Anolis sagrei: one gene and its partner. Each later gene encodes a partner of the first gene's protein in a complex. Links are inferred from orthologs where the notes say so. Each region holds a gene or a part of one and is shown on either strand. Other genes may lie near its edges.

Region 1 (6,847 bases):
GATTGGTTTCACCAAACTAGGGTCCACTAAATGTATGTCTTAAAACAAAGAATCGCTTCAGGAACACTAAACTACACATAAGAAGCCAGCTACAGCAGACTGGGAATTCTTGTTGGGAAGAAACTGGTTTCAAAGAGTTGCCAGCATATGCTTCTTAGAAGCCTGCTACAGGTGAGGAAGATAAAGACATCTCACCTGCTGTGTGCCATACTTATGAACCTGACCCCCAGCAACTGGTACGCAGAGGAATACTGTGAAACTGGCTGTTCTCACCTCCAGCCCTGATGCGAGATAACAGAAGAGAAGGAACCATTATAAACATCCAGGAGCCATTCATTTAGGCCCCATCTACTCTGGCCATTTAATGAAGATAGCTTCAGACTGAGGGCCCTTCCACACAGCCATTTATCCCAGAATATCAAGGCAGAAATTCCCACATTATCTGAGTGTGGACTCAGATAACCCAGGTGAAAGCATATATTGTGTGATTTTCTGCCTTGATGTGGGATATAGGGCTGTGTGGAAGGGCCCCCAGAATATCAAGGCAAAAAATAGCACAATATCTGCTTTGAGCTGGGTTATCTGAGTCCACACTGCCATATAGTCCAGTTCAAAGAAGATAATGTGGGATTTTCTGCCTTTATATTCTGGGAAATAGGGTTGTGTGGAAGGGCCCTGAGGCAGATAGACAACAAACTCCCACAAAAGCACATGAAAGAAAGCCCTTATTGTGCATCAGTGCTCTGTGGTTTAAGTCATCACCATCCGGTTCCTCTGTAATCATCTGCCCAGTGAAACCATCTTCTTCAGTACTGGTTAGAAACTGCATTAAATGGTCAGTGTAGATGGGCCTAAGTTACTTTCTTTCAGCCCTCTGTAGCCATAATAAACATTTCTTCAACTTCCTTTTCAAACTTTTGCCCATAGTACTTTGAAACAGAAAACGACTTCTGTTCTAAATCTTTTTCCTGCAACTCTTTCACCACCCTTTTTGGCACATTTGCCCTAGTACTTCCCCTCCAAGTCCAGCTCTAAAGTCCAGCCCTTATTCCACACACAGACCCCTTATAATTTGAGAAACTCCAGAGCAGGCCATCTCCAACTGCGGCCCTCCAGCTCCCAGCAGCTCTATCCAGCTTATTCAATGATCAGGAATTCTGAGAGTTGGAGGCCCAACCTGCTGGAGGGACACAGTTTGAGGATGCCTGTTCCAGAAGAAAAGCTATTATTGTACTGCAAGGAAAACAAAAGTCCTCGGACACTTGGGGTACCATTTGCACTGCTGATTACTATATTACTATATTGTACTATAACATTATACTGTAATATTATTAGCAATATTATATTGTATTACATTATAATATTATCAAAATTATATTTATATTCTTCTGCCAGCCCAGCAGTTCAAAAACATACAAATATAAGTAGATCAATAGGTACCACTCTGGGGGGAAGGTAATGGCGCTCCATGCAGTCATGCTAGACACATGACTTTGGAGGTGTCTATGGACAAAGCCGGCTCTCTGGCTTAGAAATGAAGATGAGCACCACACCCCAGAGTTGGACATGACTGGACTGAATGTCAGGGGAAAACCTTTACTTTTTATATGTATATACAATATCTATATAAATTAAAATGTAATGTTCGTTTGTGGGATTAACAGAACTCAAAAACCACTGGACGAATTGACACCAAATTTGGACACAAGACACCTAACAACCCAATATATGTCCTTCACTCGAAAAAAATGATTTTGTCATTTGGGAGTTGTAGTTGCTGGGATTTATAGTTCACCTACAATCAAAGAGCATTCTGAACCCCACCAACGATGGAATTGAACCAAACTTGGCACACGGTTCTCCCGTGACCAACCGAAAATACTGGGTTTGGTGGGCAGTGTCCTTTGGTTTTGGAGTTGTAGTTCACCTACCTCCAGAGATCACTGTGGACTCAAACAATGATGGATCTGGACCAAACTCTTCACGAATACTCAATATGCCCAAATGTGAACACTGGTGTTTTGGGAAAATAGAATCTTGACATCTGGGAGTTGTAGTTGCTGGGATTTATAGTTCACCTACAATCACAGAGCATTCTGAACCCCACCAATGATAGAATTGGGCCAAACCTCCCATATAGAACCCTCATGTGGGCCATAGCAACGCATGGCAAGGAACTGCTAGTATTATATTATTAGCACAGTGCAGGAGACAAGATGGAACTGTGTTCCTGGCCCTGGAAACCGGTGAATAAGGAAAAGTAGAAGCAAAATGCCATGGGAAATGGCAGGAGGCTAAGCTGGGACACATGGCATTTCCTGTGTAAACATCCAGAGCTATAAGACCCCTGCATAGAACAGTGCTTCTCAACCTTCCTAATGCCGCAACCCCTTAATATATGTTCTCATGTTGTGGTGACCCCCAACCACAATGTTATTTTCGTTGCTGCTTTATAACTGTAATTTTGCTACTGTTATGAACTGTAATGTAAATATCCAATATGCAGGATGTATTTTCATCACTGGACCAAATTTGGCACAAATACCCAAAACACCTAAATTTGAATACTACTGGGATTGGGAAAAGGAATTGCTTATGTCATTTGGGAGTTGTAGTTGATTTCATTTATAGTTCACCTACAATCAAAGAGCATTCTGAACTTCACCAATGATACTATTGAACCAAACTTGAACCAGAAAATACTCGAAGGATTTGATGGGCATTGACCTTGAGTTTTGGAGTGGTAGTTCATCTACATCCAGAGAGCACTGGGGACTCAAACAATGATGGATCTGGACCAAACTTGGCACGGTTACTCAATATGCCCAAATGTAAATACTGATGGAGTTTGGGGAAAATAGACCTTGACATTTGGGAGTTGTAGTTGCTGGGTTTTATAGTTCACCTACAACCAAAGAGCATCCTGAACCCCACAAACGACAGAATTGGGCCAAACCTCCCACATAGAACCCGCAACGCGTGGCAGGGGACGGCTAGTTTTATATTATTAGCCCAGTGCAGGAGACAAGATGGGACTGTCTTCCTGGCCCCGGAAACCGGTGAATAAGGAAAAGTAGAACCAAAATGCCATGGGAAATGGCAGGAGGCTAAGCTGGAAGGGAGACATGACAGTATAAGACCCCTGCATAGAATCTTACAGTGGGAAGGGGCCAACCCCCTTCTAATAGGCAGGAAGACACAACCCGGGCACTCCCCGCAGAGGGCCAACCGCCTGTGGTTCTGCGCCCAGAGCCCACCCTCTTCCGCCTTCTTCCAGGGACCCTCCCCCGAAGGAGCGTTACCTTCGGCCCAGCGCTGCCCCGGGCCCAGAACGGCCATGATCCATCGGGGGAACTGGGCGGGGCCAAACCTGCGGCCACGTGACTCCCACGCGCAAGGCGCCCTGGGCCTTGGAGTCCCCCGAGCAATCGGGACCCTCCGCGCCGGAGACCAAGAATGGGCGGGAAAAACCGACCGCGAAGCAGTCCTATTGCCTAGAATCACTGCGTTGGAAAAGACCCCAATTCAGTCCGTGCAGGGAGGCGCACTCCAATGTCAATCGAACGCCGGAAGTAGAAAGGAGGGGGGGAACCGGAAATACGCCATTTTTGAAAAGCTTTGTGGGCCTCGCTCTCCTATGGCGCCTTTGCTACAGCGGGGCCGGAAGTGGCGCGCGCCGGCGCTGTGAGGCAGCGGTTGGTCGCGCAGGCGCACTTCAAAGGGGAGGGGGGTTGCTGTGCAAAGTGGGGCTCGTGTCTGGATTTCGGTTGTCTCGCGCGGCCAAGGGCGGGGGGAGGAGGAGGAGGAGGGGAAAGAGCTGAGGCGCAGAAGAAGAAGAACGGCGGCGGTGCTGAGGGAGGCGTCGTTGCGCGGCTGCTGAGGCTGCTGCGGGCGGAGCGGGCGGCGCTCCTCCTTTTCCTCCCCGTGCGGCGCGGCTCTTAGGCCCGAGAGGACGGACTCCCCGCTCGCCCTCTCCCCCCCTCTCCGCCCTGGGCGGCGGCGGCGGGGGCGGCGGCGGGGGGGAGGGGCGGGGCGGCTGCGGAGGGAACAGGTGAGAGCCTTTGGCCCGCGGAACCCCCAGCGGAAGAGGGCGGGAAGGGAGGAAGGAGGGAGGGAACCAGTGCTTGTGGGCCTGAAGGACCAGGCATCCTACACTAGGATTCATCCATTAGCCCTCCAACTCCCAGAAGCCCTTGCCAGCTTGCCCAATGAGGAGGAGTTCTCGGAGTTGGAGGCCCAAACACCTGCCGGGCCTAATTGGAGCAGGCCTGGTCTACACAATCCAAGAGAAGAAATATATCAGTGATTCTCAACCTGTGGGTCCCCAGGTGTTTTGGCCTACAACTCCCAGAAATCCCAGCCACTTAACCAGCTGTTAGGATTTCTGGGAGTTGAAGGCCAAAACATCTGGGGACCCAAAGGTTGAGAACCACTGAAATACATGAATCTCCCAGAGCCCAGGAGCGTAGGTCATTCCCCCACCTCCTTGCGAGGAACCGCTTCTAAAGTGGGGTACATATCCAAGGAAGGCCGCATTTCTTCGATTCTAAGACGCACACATTGGTCCCTTCCACACAACTGTATAAAATCCCACATCTGTATTGAACTGGAATATATATATGGCTGCGTGGACTCAGATAGCCCAGTTTCTGCCTTGATATTCTGCATTATATGGCTGTGTGGAAGGGCCCCCAGTTCAAAAGCAGATATTGTGGGATTTTCTGCCTTGATATTCTGGTTTATATGATTGTGTGGAAGGGTCCTCAGATAACCCAGTTCAAAGCAGATATTCTGGGTTTTATGGTTGTGTGGAAGGGCCCTCAGATAACCCAGTTCAAAGCAGATATTCTGGGTTATATGGTTGTGTGGAAGGGGCCTCAGACAACCCAGTTCAAAGCAGATGTTCTGGGTTATATGATTGTGTGGAAGGGCCCTCAGATAACCCAGTTCAAAGCAGATATTCTGGGTTTTATGGTTGTGTGGAAGGGCCCTCAGATAACCCAGTTCAAAGCAGATATTCTGGGTTATATGGTTGTGTGGAAGGGGCCTCAGACAACCCAGTTCAAAGCAGATGTTCTGGGTTATATGATTGTGTGGAAGGGCCCTCAGATAACCCAGTTCAAAGCAGATATTCTGGGTTATATGGTTGTGTAGAAGAGGCCTCAGATAACCCAGTTCAAAGCAGATATTCTGGGTTGTGTGGAAGGGGCCTCAGATAACCCAGTTCAAAGCAGATATTCTAGGTTTTATGGTTGTGTGGAAGGGGCCTCAGACAACCCAATTCAAAGCAGATGTTCTGGATTATATGATTGTGTGGAAGGGCCCTCAGATAACCCAGTTCAAAGCAGATATTCTGGGTTGTGTGGAAGGGCCCTCAGATAACCCAGTTCAAAGCAGATATTGTGGATCATTTTAGTACCACAAACAGGAAAAAAAACCCACATGCGATTCTAAGGGCCCTTCCACACAGCCCTATATCCCAGGAAATCAAGGCAGAAAATCCCACAATATATGCTTTGAACTGGGTTATCTGAGCCCACACTCAGATAATATGGGTTTTTTTGCCTTGATATTCTGGGATATAGGGCTGTCTGGAAGGGTCCTAAGCCTGGATCTACACTTTCATATAATTCAGATTCTCTAAGCAAATATTTATTTATTTACTGTATTTGTATACCACTTTTCTCAGCCTATAGGCAACTCAAGGCAGTTAACAGGGTAAAATTTAATTCTTACAATATCATAAATACAATTAAGAACATAACATATAATAAAAATTAAACATATCAATAAAATATAAATTTATATTCCAGGGTCCTTCCAGACAGGTCCTATGTCTCAGGATCTGATCTCAGGTTTTCTGTTAATCCTAGATAATCTGGCAATGCAGACTCATATAATTCAGTTCAAAGCAGATAATCTGGATTTTATATGGCAGTGTAGATGGGACCTAAAACACCCTGTTTTTTTGAGATGGGGTGGGGGAGTGCACCTTAGAATCGAAGAAATGGGATCTATACATGCTGAGGATCGCTTGTCCAAAATACTTGAGACCAGGGGTGTTTGGGATTTACAGACCCACCCCCATTTGGAATACCTGAACAGTAGACTCTCAGTTAACAGGAACTCCTAAGCAACTGGGCAAAAATTTGAAAACAAAGACTATAATACTCTAAATAAAAATGTAAATATATTTTAATAATTTAGTAATATCAATTTTTATAATGTGTTAAGTGTTACATTAAGTAGAAACTCGGTTAACTGAAATTCAAGCAACAGGAACTCCCAAGCAATCGTTAAAAAATGAAACAATACCGTAATACTCTGAATAAAAATTAAAATATAGAAAAATCAGTATTTATAATGTATTAAATGTTACATTAACTTTGTCCTCATTTGCTTTTAGCTGCTGTATTACATTATCAATATCAAGTCAATACAGAGTTTGTATAGTATTAGGTGGTCCTGTTTTTAATAGTAACTCTGAAGCAATCAGAAACCACATTTATCTGGCATCTACCAATCCCCACAAGTGCCGATTAACTGACAGTCTACAGTAATTTCCTCATATTTACCCTAGGAACATATCTATCAAATAAGTTCTGTACATATCGGTCAAATAAATGCAAGTTAAATATTCCTTATCCCAAATCCTTGGGAATGGGAATGTTTTGGATTTTTAACCCCCCCCCCCCCCCGTATTTTGAAATAGCTGTATTTGAATAGATGTATCTATCTTTTAGATGGGAACCAAATCTAAAGAAGAAATTTATAATTCATGTTTTTCTTATGCGCATAGCCTGAAGTTAATTTTATACACAATATTCTTAATAATTTTGCTCATGAA
Region 2 (7,465 bases), on another chromosome or scaffold:
CAGGTGTTTTGGCCTACAACTCCCAGATATCCTAGCCAGTTTAGCAACTGTTAGGATTTCTGGGAGTTGAATACCAAAACATCTGGGGATCCACAGGTTGAGAACCACTGATTTAAATTCTGCAAGATATAAAATTTAAACAATAAAACAATTATAAGTAGATTTTAAAAAGATATCCTACAACATGCATGTGGACTTAAGCACATTATTTTGGTGGTAAGGGCCCTAGTCAATCATCAAATGCCTGACTAAACAAAAAATTAACTTGTCTGTCAACACAAAGGAGGGAAGGTGACAATCTGATGTCTCTTGGAAAGGAATTGCAGAATCTGGGGGCAGCCACTGTGAAGGGCCTATTGGGTTTTCCCAACAGATGTATCTGAGTGTGATAACATAAAGAAAAGGTCCTCTTTATGCTGAACCCCTTTAGAAGTTGAGTTACTGTCAATGCATTCCTGCTTTTATTTGCCATCTCTACTCCAGTTGGAGTAGAGAACCAGATGACAAGTCTGCTGAGTCAGGGCTAGTAGTGGGCCTGACTCTGCTAAGAAGTAGCCAATTTCCCCCTACAATTCCATAGATAGAGCACAACCAGGAGCAGCAGCAGCTGGATGAAGGTTGCTTGACTCTCCTGTCTTGTTGGCCCTCCAGGGGTATCACAGCTTCAAGGCAACATGCAGAATCTTTACCAGAAATTAATAACTATTCTTAATGCCATTTTACCTCTATGTAGAAGTGTAACAAAGTCGTAACAATACATAGTGGGGTTTGATTCTTACTAACTGAAACATAAAACAAGTGAAAGCAAAATCCTTTCTCAGAAATGTTACATAGCAGGCTGGTTAGCTCAAGGGTACTTGATTACTGAATTGCTAAAATACAAATGGAATAAATATCTTTGAAGCAGATTGTAGTACTGTGTGGAAAAAAATGAAGCCTTTTCTCTTCAACATAAAATTGTTTTAGAAAAAATTCCTGCTTCTACATCTTCATTTTTAAATATTCTGAAATTGGGAGTTCCCCAGAACAAACTTTGTTTTTCCATTACCTTTTTTAGGGGTGGAACAAAGAAAGATAATAATAATGATAGTAACTATAGTCTAATGTCCCGCCTTCAATCACCGAAGGGACTTGGGGCAGCTTACATGGCGACCAAGCCCAATATAAACAAGATTTCAAAGTAATACAATTAAAATATATAACAATCAACTGTATTAAAACAATAAAACCAATAAACTCCTATACATCTAGAGGAAATGATTTTCCTATACGTCTAGGGGAAATGACGGTTTGTGGTATTTCCTCTGAGTAATAATTTATAGAGACCTGGAAATCTGAAAGCAGTCCTCTGCTAACTCTTCATACAGTAACATGTCCTAATTTTTCATCAGATAAACAAATTGATCTGAGTACTGTGGACCTGAAGAAGCTTCGAGTTAAAGAACTGAAGAAGATCTTGGATGATTGGGGTGAAACATGCAAAGGCTGTGCAGAAAAATCAGACTACATTCGGAAAATCAATGAACTGATGCCTAAATATGCACCTAAAGCAGCCAGTTCCCGGACAGATCTCTGACCATCAAAGTGACCTCTAGCACATTATTAGCAAGTCACACACAAACTATGTTAAACTTTCTTTTTTTTTCCTGGACAGCTGTTTTTGTAACTTATTTAACTGGGTTTCAACTGTCAAATCGGAGCGAGCATTTTTTTCAGTGTTGGTTCAACTGCCTTGTTATGTCTCAAGTTATTATTTCTCTTGTCTGATTTATGTTAAAAATGGACTTATGGGATTTTTAAAATAAACTTTATGAAATCCAGTGTCATCTGATTTAAGAGAAGTGAGTAGAGGTTCAGTGGCAAATGAGGTCCATCTGCAGATTTAGTTTGACATTTAGTTTGACATTTAATGCAAGCAGGTTGGATAACTTTCCAGCATTTTTAATTGCTGTATTAGTGATGGTCTGTGAAACAACTCAATACTGGTGCTTGCCTGTTCATGTGTACTGCAAAACTGACATGAAATTTGTGTAAGTTATAATCTCTGAATATTTGGGGGTGGGGGAAGAGCAGGGCAGCATTCTGTACTATTATACGTTGAACACCAAGGATGCATAAGAGACCAACCATGTTCTATTCAATATGATTATAATACTTTGCACTAAATATCAGGATTAGGGCGAAGTATTTGGGACGGTTTGGTAGTGATGTTTATGTGTGTGTCCATGACAACATTCCTAGTTTTACCTTAACACATTAGTAGGCAAACATAGCACTTGTAAGGGTATTGGTTTATCATATGTACAAAAAGTTTGAAATTTACACAATGCTGCTCCACAGGCAGGTGGCCTGGGCCATGTGTTTTGAAGATAAATGTTCCTACATTTGACCTGGATAGTAGCATAATCTTAGATAATGCTAACTGGCACTATCCAAAGTAAAAAAATAAAGATAGCAGCCAAGCTAGTTGGCACCATTTCTGTTTATTTGTTCTTACTCACTTTAGTTCTAGATTTACCATTGCCAGTGAAGATGAAGCTCCTCCACAGAAGAATGGGGAGCTTTCCTCCAAGCATGTTCTCAGATAAGAATTAACACTAAGCACTCCTTATATCAAGAATGCATCATAGTCATATCCACTGCAGCTTCCACACCCTTGAGTGTGTGAGTACTGGGCACTCAAAAAGTCTGTCATAATTACCTGTTCTTTGGAAACCTACATTGTCAAAGGCTTTCATGGCTGGAATCATATCTGCACAGGCTGGCATCTTCAGAACTTTTGAAGATGCCAGCCACAGATGCAGGTGAAATGTTAGGAGAGAATGCTGCTGAAAAATAGCTGTACAGCTTGAAAAACTCACAGCAACCCAAACCTATGTTACTTCATCTTGACAGTGACATTACTTGCTATTATCAGTCTTGAGTACAAGACCCAGTTGTGCTTTGATATATGAGCCTGTATCATTATTTAATAGTTGGTGTGGAACATGCTTCATTTGCATGTGCCCACACCTGTTCCAGTATATGGAAAGTAAGGGAATCTTGCATGTGTGTAAATCCAGAAGCTTAGGGTTAATTGTAAGCCAGGTTGTCCTTTGCAAAGTCAAAGCTGTTCTGAGCACATTTTTGAATAAATGAAGCAGTAATTCTATGTGCATTTCCAGTGTGGCTTAGAGAAGCAGAAGATTGCTGTTGAGTATGGACTGCTTTAACAAATGCTTTATGACTCTTCTAACAACATAACAGAAATGTCAAAATTATGAATCATCAAGGAGGTTCTGTGAAAGTTAGCAAAAGAGAGACTAGGATTATTAAGCTACTGCACAAATAGAAACGTGTCCCTATTTTTAAACATGGATCTGATTGGGGAATATCCCTGTATATGGGACTAAAACATGTTCCACCTCCTTTCTGTCCAGTGGGCATTACCTCGGCTGACACTGTGACACTCCCAAGCTCCCTATTTCTTCTTGCATTTATTATGGCCTAAGCTATCCTCAGTATTACACACATTATTTGGAGAAAAATTGGGAACGCTCCTGTGGCATTGGTGATGGAATAGGTCATTTTGGCCAGTGCTACCTGCTTATATGAGGAGCAACACTGGCTGAAATTCTACCTCCTGCACAATGCAACAAAGGTATCAAAGCCCTCCAGATCTGTAGTCATTTGGTCTTTTTAAAAATCTTTAGGGCTAAAAACCTAATGATGTGTGCCTCTACACTGGCTGAGTAATACAGGCAGTCCCCAAGTTACAAACCGTAGGTTCTTCAGGCTTGTTCTTAAGTCGAATTTGTATGTCAGTAGGAACAGCCACGTTCTTTTGTGTCAGTCCGGGGTAGAGGGAGGGTGTGTGTGTGTATATACACACACATACACACACACAAACTTTGGATAGCATATGGAAGGGTTAAGACCTGTGGTGTTTGTTTTGTTAAGATTTTCCCTCACTTTCTGTCCCGGGAATAATAGGATTGTGTCAATTTTGGCTTGTGGAAACAAGGATTGGAGGGGGAGAGTCAGTTGAGACACTTTCCCCCATGATCTCTCTTCAGGGGTGAACTTCCCTCACTTCCTGTCGTCTCATCCCGTTCGTAACTGAGTCGTTGGTAGTTCGGATGTTTGGGACTGCCTGTAATGCGGCCTAAACGCGGCGTTTCCTCCGACCTGCACCTCGGCAGGCTGGAAACGTGGGCCGGCGGCAGGCGCGCTGTCCCTTCTCTCCTTGCCCTCCTCGTTTTGGCCCAGGCACCCGTCAAGGGACGCAAACCATTGCCGTTCTTTCTGGAGGCAACTGCGGCGCCTCTGAGGGCATCCTCGCCGAAGCCTCAGCCAATCGCAAACGTAAGGAGCGGGAGGACGCGCTGAAGTCTCGCGAGGCCGGAGAGGGGCGCGCGGGGCTGGGGTGTGGGCCTCGCCTCCCTTCCCTTCCGAATTGACCCCTTCCGCCCTCCGTCTGCCACTTCCTGTCCGCGAGCTTTGAGGCGGGAAAAGAAGCGCCTCCGCCCACCTGGGACTGGCCTGAAAGTCCAGGGGCGCGCAGGCAGAGGGTTTTTGTCCTCCTCCCGCACCCGTCTGCTGAGGGGAGGGGGGAGGCGTGGAGGGACTTGGCGTGGCCGAAGCCCTTGCGTCCCACCGCCGCCTTCCCCTCGCCCCCTCGCTCGCTCCCTCCCTCTCTCGTCATCGGCGGCGCGGGGTGATGACGCGAGAGGCGCGTACGGCGCGGCAACTGGGCAGAGCCGCCTTCGTTCGCTCCCTTTTGTCCAAGATGGCAGCTGGTGCCGGAGGCGCCTCTTGAGCCGCGGGCCCGGAGCCATGAAGCGGGCGAGCGAGCGGGATTCCAGCCCGGCCGGGTCCGGCTCCACGCGGGGGGCCTCCTCTTCCTCCTCCTCCTCGGCCAAGAGGCCTCGCGAGCGGGAGAGCGGCAGCGCGGGGGGCGGCGGCGGCGGAGGGAGCAGCAGTAGCCGGCGCGGCCCGCATCGCAGCTCGGCCGCCTCCTCCTCGTCCTCCTCGTCGCGAAGCAGCCGGGACAAGCCCTCGGCGGGCGGCTCCGGCTCCAGCTCGCGCAGCCACCGCGGGGAGGAGCGGCCCGGGCCCGGCGGAGAGGCCAACCACCGCGCCGCCGCCGCCGCCTCCTCCTTGTCCTCGTCCTCCGCCGCCAGGAGCAGCAGCAGCCAAGCCGCCAACCCCTCCCCTTCCTCCTCGGCCTCCCTGCCCTCGCTGGCCTCCTCCTCGCGGCTGCTGCCCAAGGCCAAAGCGCTGCCCGCGGCCCCGGTGGTGGCGCCCTCCCTGCTGCTGGGTGTCCCGGCTCCGCCCCCGGTTGCGGCGCCCTCGCTGCTCCTGGCCCCGGGCCTGGGCCTCTCGGCGGCGGGCCTGGCGGGCCTGGCGGTGGAGCCCCCGGGGGCCAGCAGCGAGTACAAGACCCTGCTGGTCAGCGGCCTGAGCCCCGCCCTGCCCGACCAGCTCCTGGAGGAGGGCCTCTTCCGCCAGTTCCAGCGCTTTGCCAGCGGCGGGGCCAGCGACATCAGCGTCAAGCTCTCCCACACCCCAGAACTGGGGCGCGTGGCCTACGTCAACTTCCGGCACCCGTCCGATGCCAGGGATGCCCGGCGGCACGCACGCGCCCGCCAGCTCCTGCTTTTTGACCGGCCCCTCAAGGTGGAGCCTGTATACCTGCGGGGCGGCGGGAGGAGGAGCCGCACCCCACCGCCCACCCCCTCTCCAGAGCCCCTGGCCTTCCTGCCCCCGCTCCACGGGGGGGTCTTCCCCTACAAGCAGCGCTCGCTCTCTCCTGTGGCCGGGCCCCTCCTCCGGGAGCCCCGCCCCCCGCGCCATGCACAGGCCGCTGCTGCTGCCGCTTTTGCCCTAGAGGCCGTGGCCCTAGGCCTGTCACGGGAGCGAGAGCGGGTGCTGGACTACTACGGCCTGTACGACGAGCGGGGCCGGCCCTATGGATACCCCGCAGCAGCTGTGGCTGCAGCCGAGGAGGAGCTGATGCCAGAAGATGACCAGAGGGCCACTCGGAACCTCTTCATCGGTAACCTGGACCACAGTGTTTCCGAGGCGGAGCTGAGGCGGGCCTTCGAGAAGTATGGCATCATCGAGGAAGTGGTCATCAAGCGCCCAGCCCGGGGCCAAGGGGGCGCCTATGCTTTCCTCAAGTTCCAGAACCTGGACATGGCACACCGGGCCAAGGTGGCCATGTCTGGCCGAGTGGTCGGCAGGAACCCCATCAAGATCGGCTACGGCAAAGCCAACCCCACCACCAGGCTCTGGGTGGGCGGCCTCGGTCCGAGTACTTCCCTGGCTGCCTTGGCAAGGGAGTTTGACCGCTTTGGGAGCATTAGGACGATTGACTACGTGAAGGGGGACAGTTTTGCTTACATTCAGTACGAAAGTTTGGACGCTGCCCAGGCGGCCTGTGCGCAGATGAGGGGCTTCCCGTTGGGCGGGCCTGACCGGAGACTGCGAGTGGACTTTGCCAAAGCCGAGGAGGCGCGCTACCCTCAGCCGTACCCGCCCGCCCCGCTGCCAGTGCACTATGAGTTGCTCCCTGAGGCCTATAGCAGACACAGAAGCCTAGAGCAAGACTTAAGGGTGAGGGACAGGACTCCTCCTCATCTTCTCTACTCTGACAGAGAAAGGAGCTTTCTGGAGGCAGATTGGGCTAGTCCTGTCAAAAATGCAGAGCGTAGAAATAATTTGGAGGCCTACAGCCGGTCAGCACGGAGCCGGAGCGGAGAACGTTGGGGCAATGATGGCGACCGCAGCATGCTTAAGCCTTGGGAGGAAAGGCGCAAACGGCGCAGCCTTTCCAGCGAACGTGGGAGAGCCACTCACTCGCCTTATGAGGACCGAAGCAGGACAAAGCCTGGAGGGACAGCTGTTGACCGCAGTCCAGATCGGGTGCGGAAGGAGAACCACGCAACTGAGGCCACAACAGAGAAAGAGCAGAATAACTCCCTCCAGAACAACCGACACACAGCAGAGGAGAAGCCTCATCGCGAAATGTCTGATCCTCAGCCTAAGAAAAGGGACAATGAACGCAATCATCGAACTGGTGAGTCTGAATCAAAGACTCACGAAGAGTCCAAATTGGAAACCAAGAAACTAAAAAGCTTGTCAGATTATGCCCACACTCTGCAGCTTGCCTGGCATGGGCTACTTGTCCTGAAGAATAGCTGTTTCCCTACATCTATGCACATCCTTGAAGGGGACTTGGGGGTCATTAATGGGCTCCTGAAAGACCACTTGTCTGGGGGAAAGCTGACCCAGCTCAAGATTGCTCAGAGACTTCGGCTTGATCAGCCCAAACTCGATGAAGTAACTCGACGCATCAAGCAAGGAAGCCCCAATGGCTACGCTGTGCTGCTGGCCACCCAAGCTACTCCAGGAGCAAGTGCTGAAGGGACCTTCCCTGCCGTGGAGCCCAGCTTGCAAAGGCGGCTTCTCAGGAATCTGGTCT

The links.
Region 2: ZC3H13 (region 1) and RBM15B share a complex: the UniProt entries of both Homo sapiens proteins name them as parts of the WMM complex. The link is inferred for Anolis sagrei from reciprocal best matches to the Homo sapiens genes ZC3H13 and RBM15B.

The regions. Positions count from the first base shown.
Region 1 is NC_090021.1:140,394,989-140,401,835, forward strand, and holds the start of ZC3H13 (zinc finger CCCH domain-containing protein 13), read left to right. Parts: upstream 1-3,831; 5' UTR 3,832-4,051; intron 4,052-6,847. Other genes in the region: DNAJC18 (dnaJ homolog subfamily C member 18), read right to left, coding at 3,303-3,339. UniProt on the Homo sapiens protein: Associated component of the WMM complex, a complex that mediates N6-methyladenosine (m6A) methylation of RNAs, a modification that plays a role in the efficiency of mRNA splicing and RNA processing.
Region 2 is NC_090022.1:71,045,127-71,052,591, reverse strand, and holds the start of RBM15B (putative RNA-binding protein 15B), read left to right. Parts: upstream 1-4,445; 5' UTR 4,446-4,815; coding exon 4,816-7,465. Other genes in the region: MANF (mesencephalic astrocyte-derived neurotrophic factor), read left to right, coding at 1,392-1,576. UniProt on the Homo sapiens protein: RNA-binding protein that acts as a key regulator of N6-methyladenosine (m6A) methylation of RNAs, thereby regulating different processes, such as alternative splicing of mRNAs and X chromosome inactivation mediated by Xist RNA.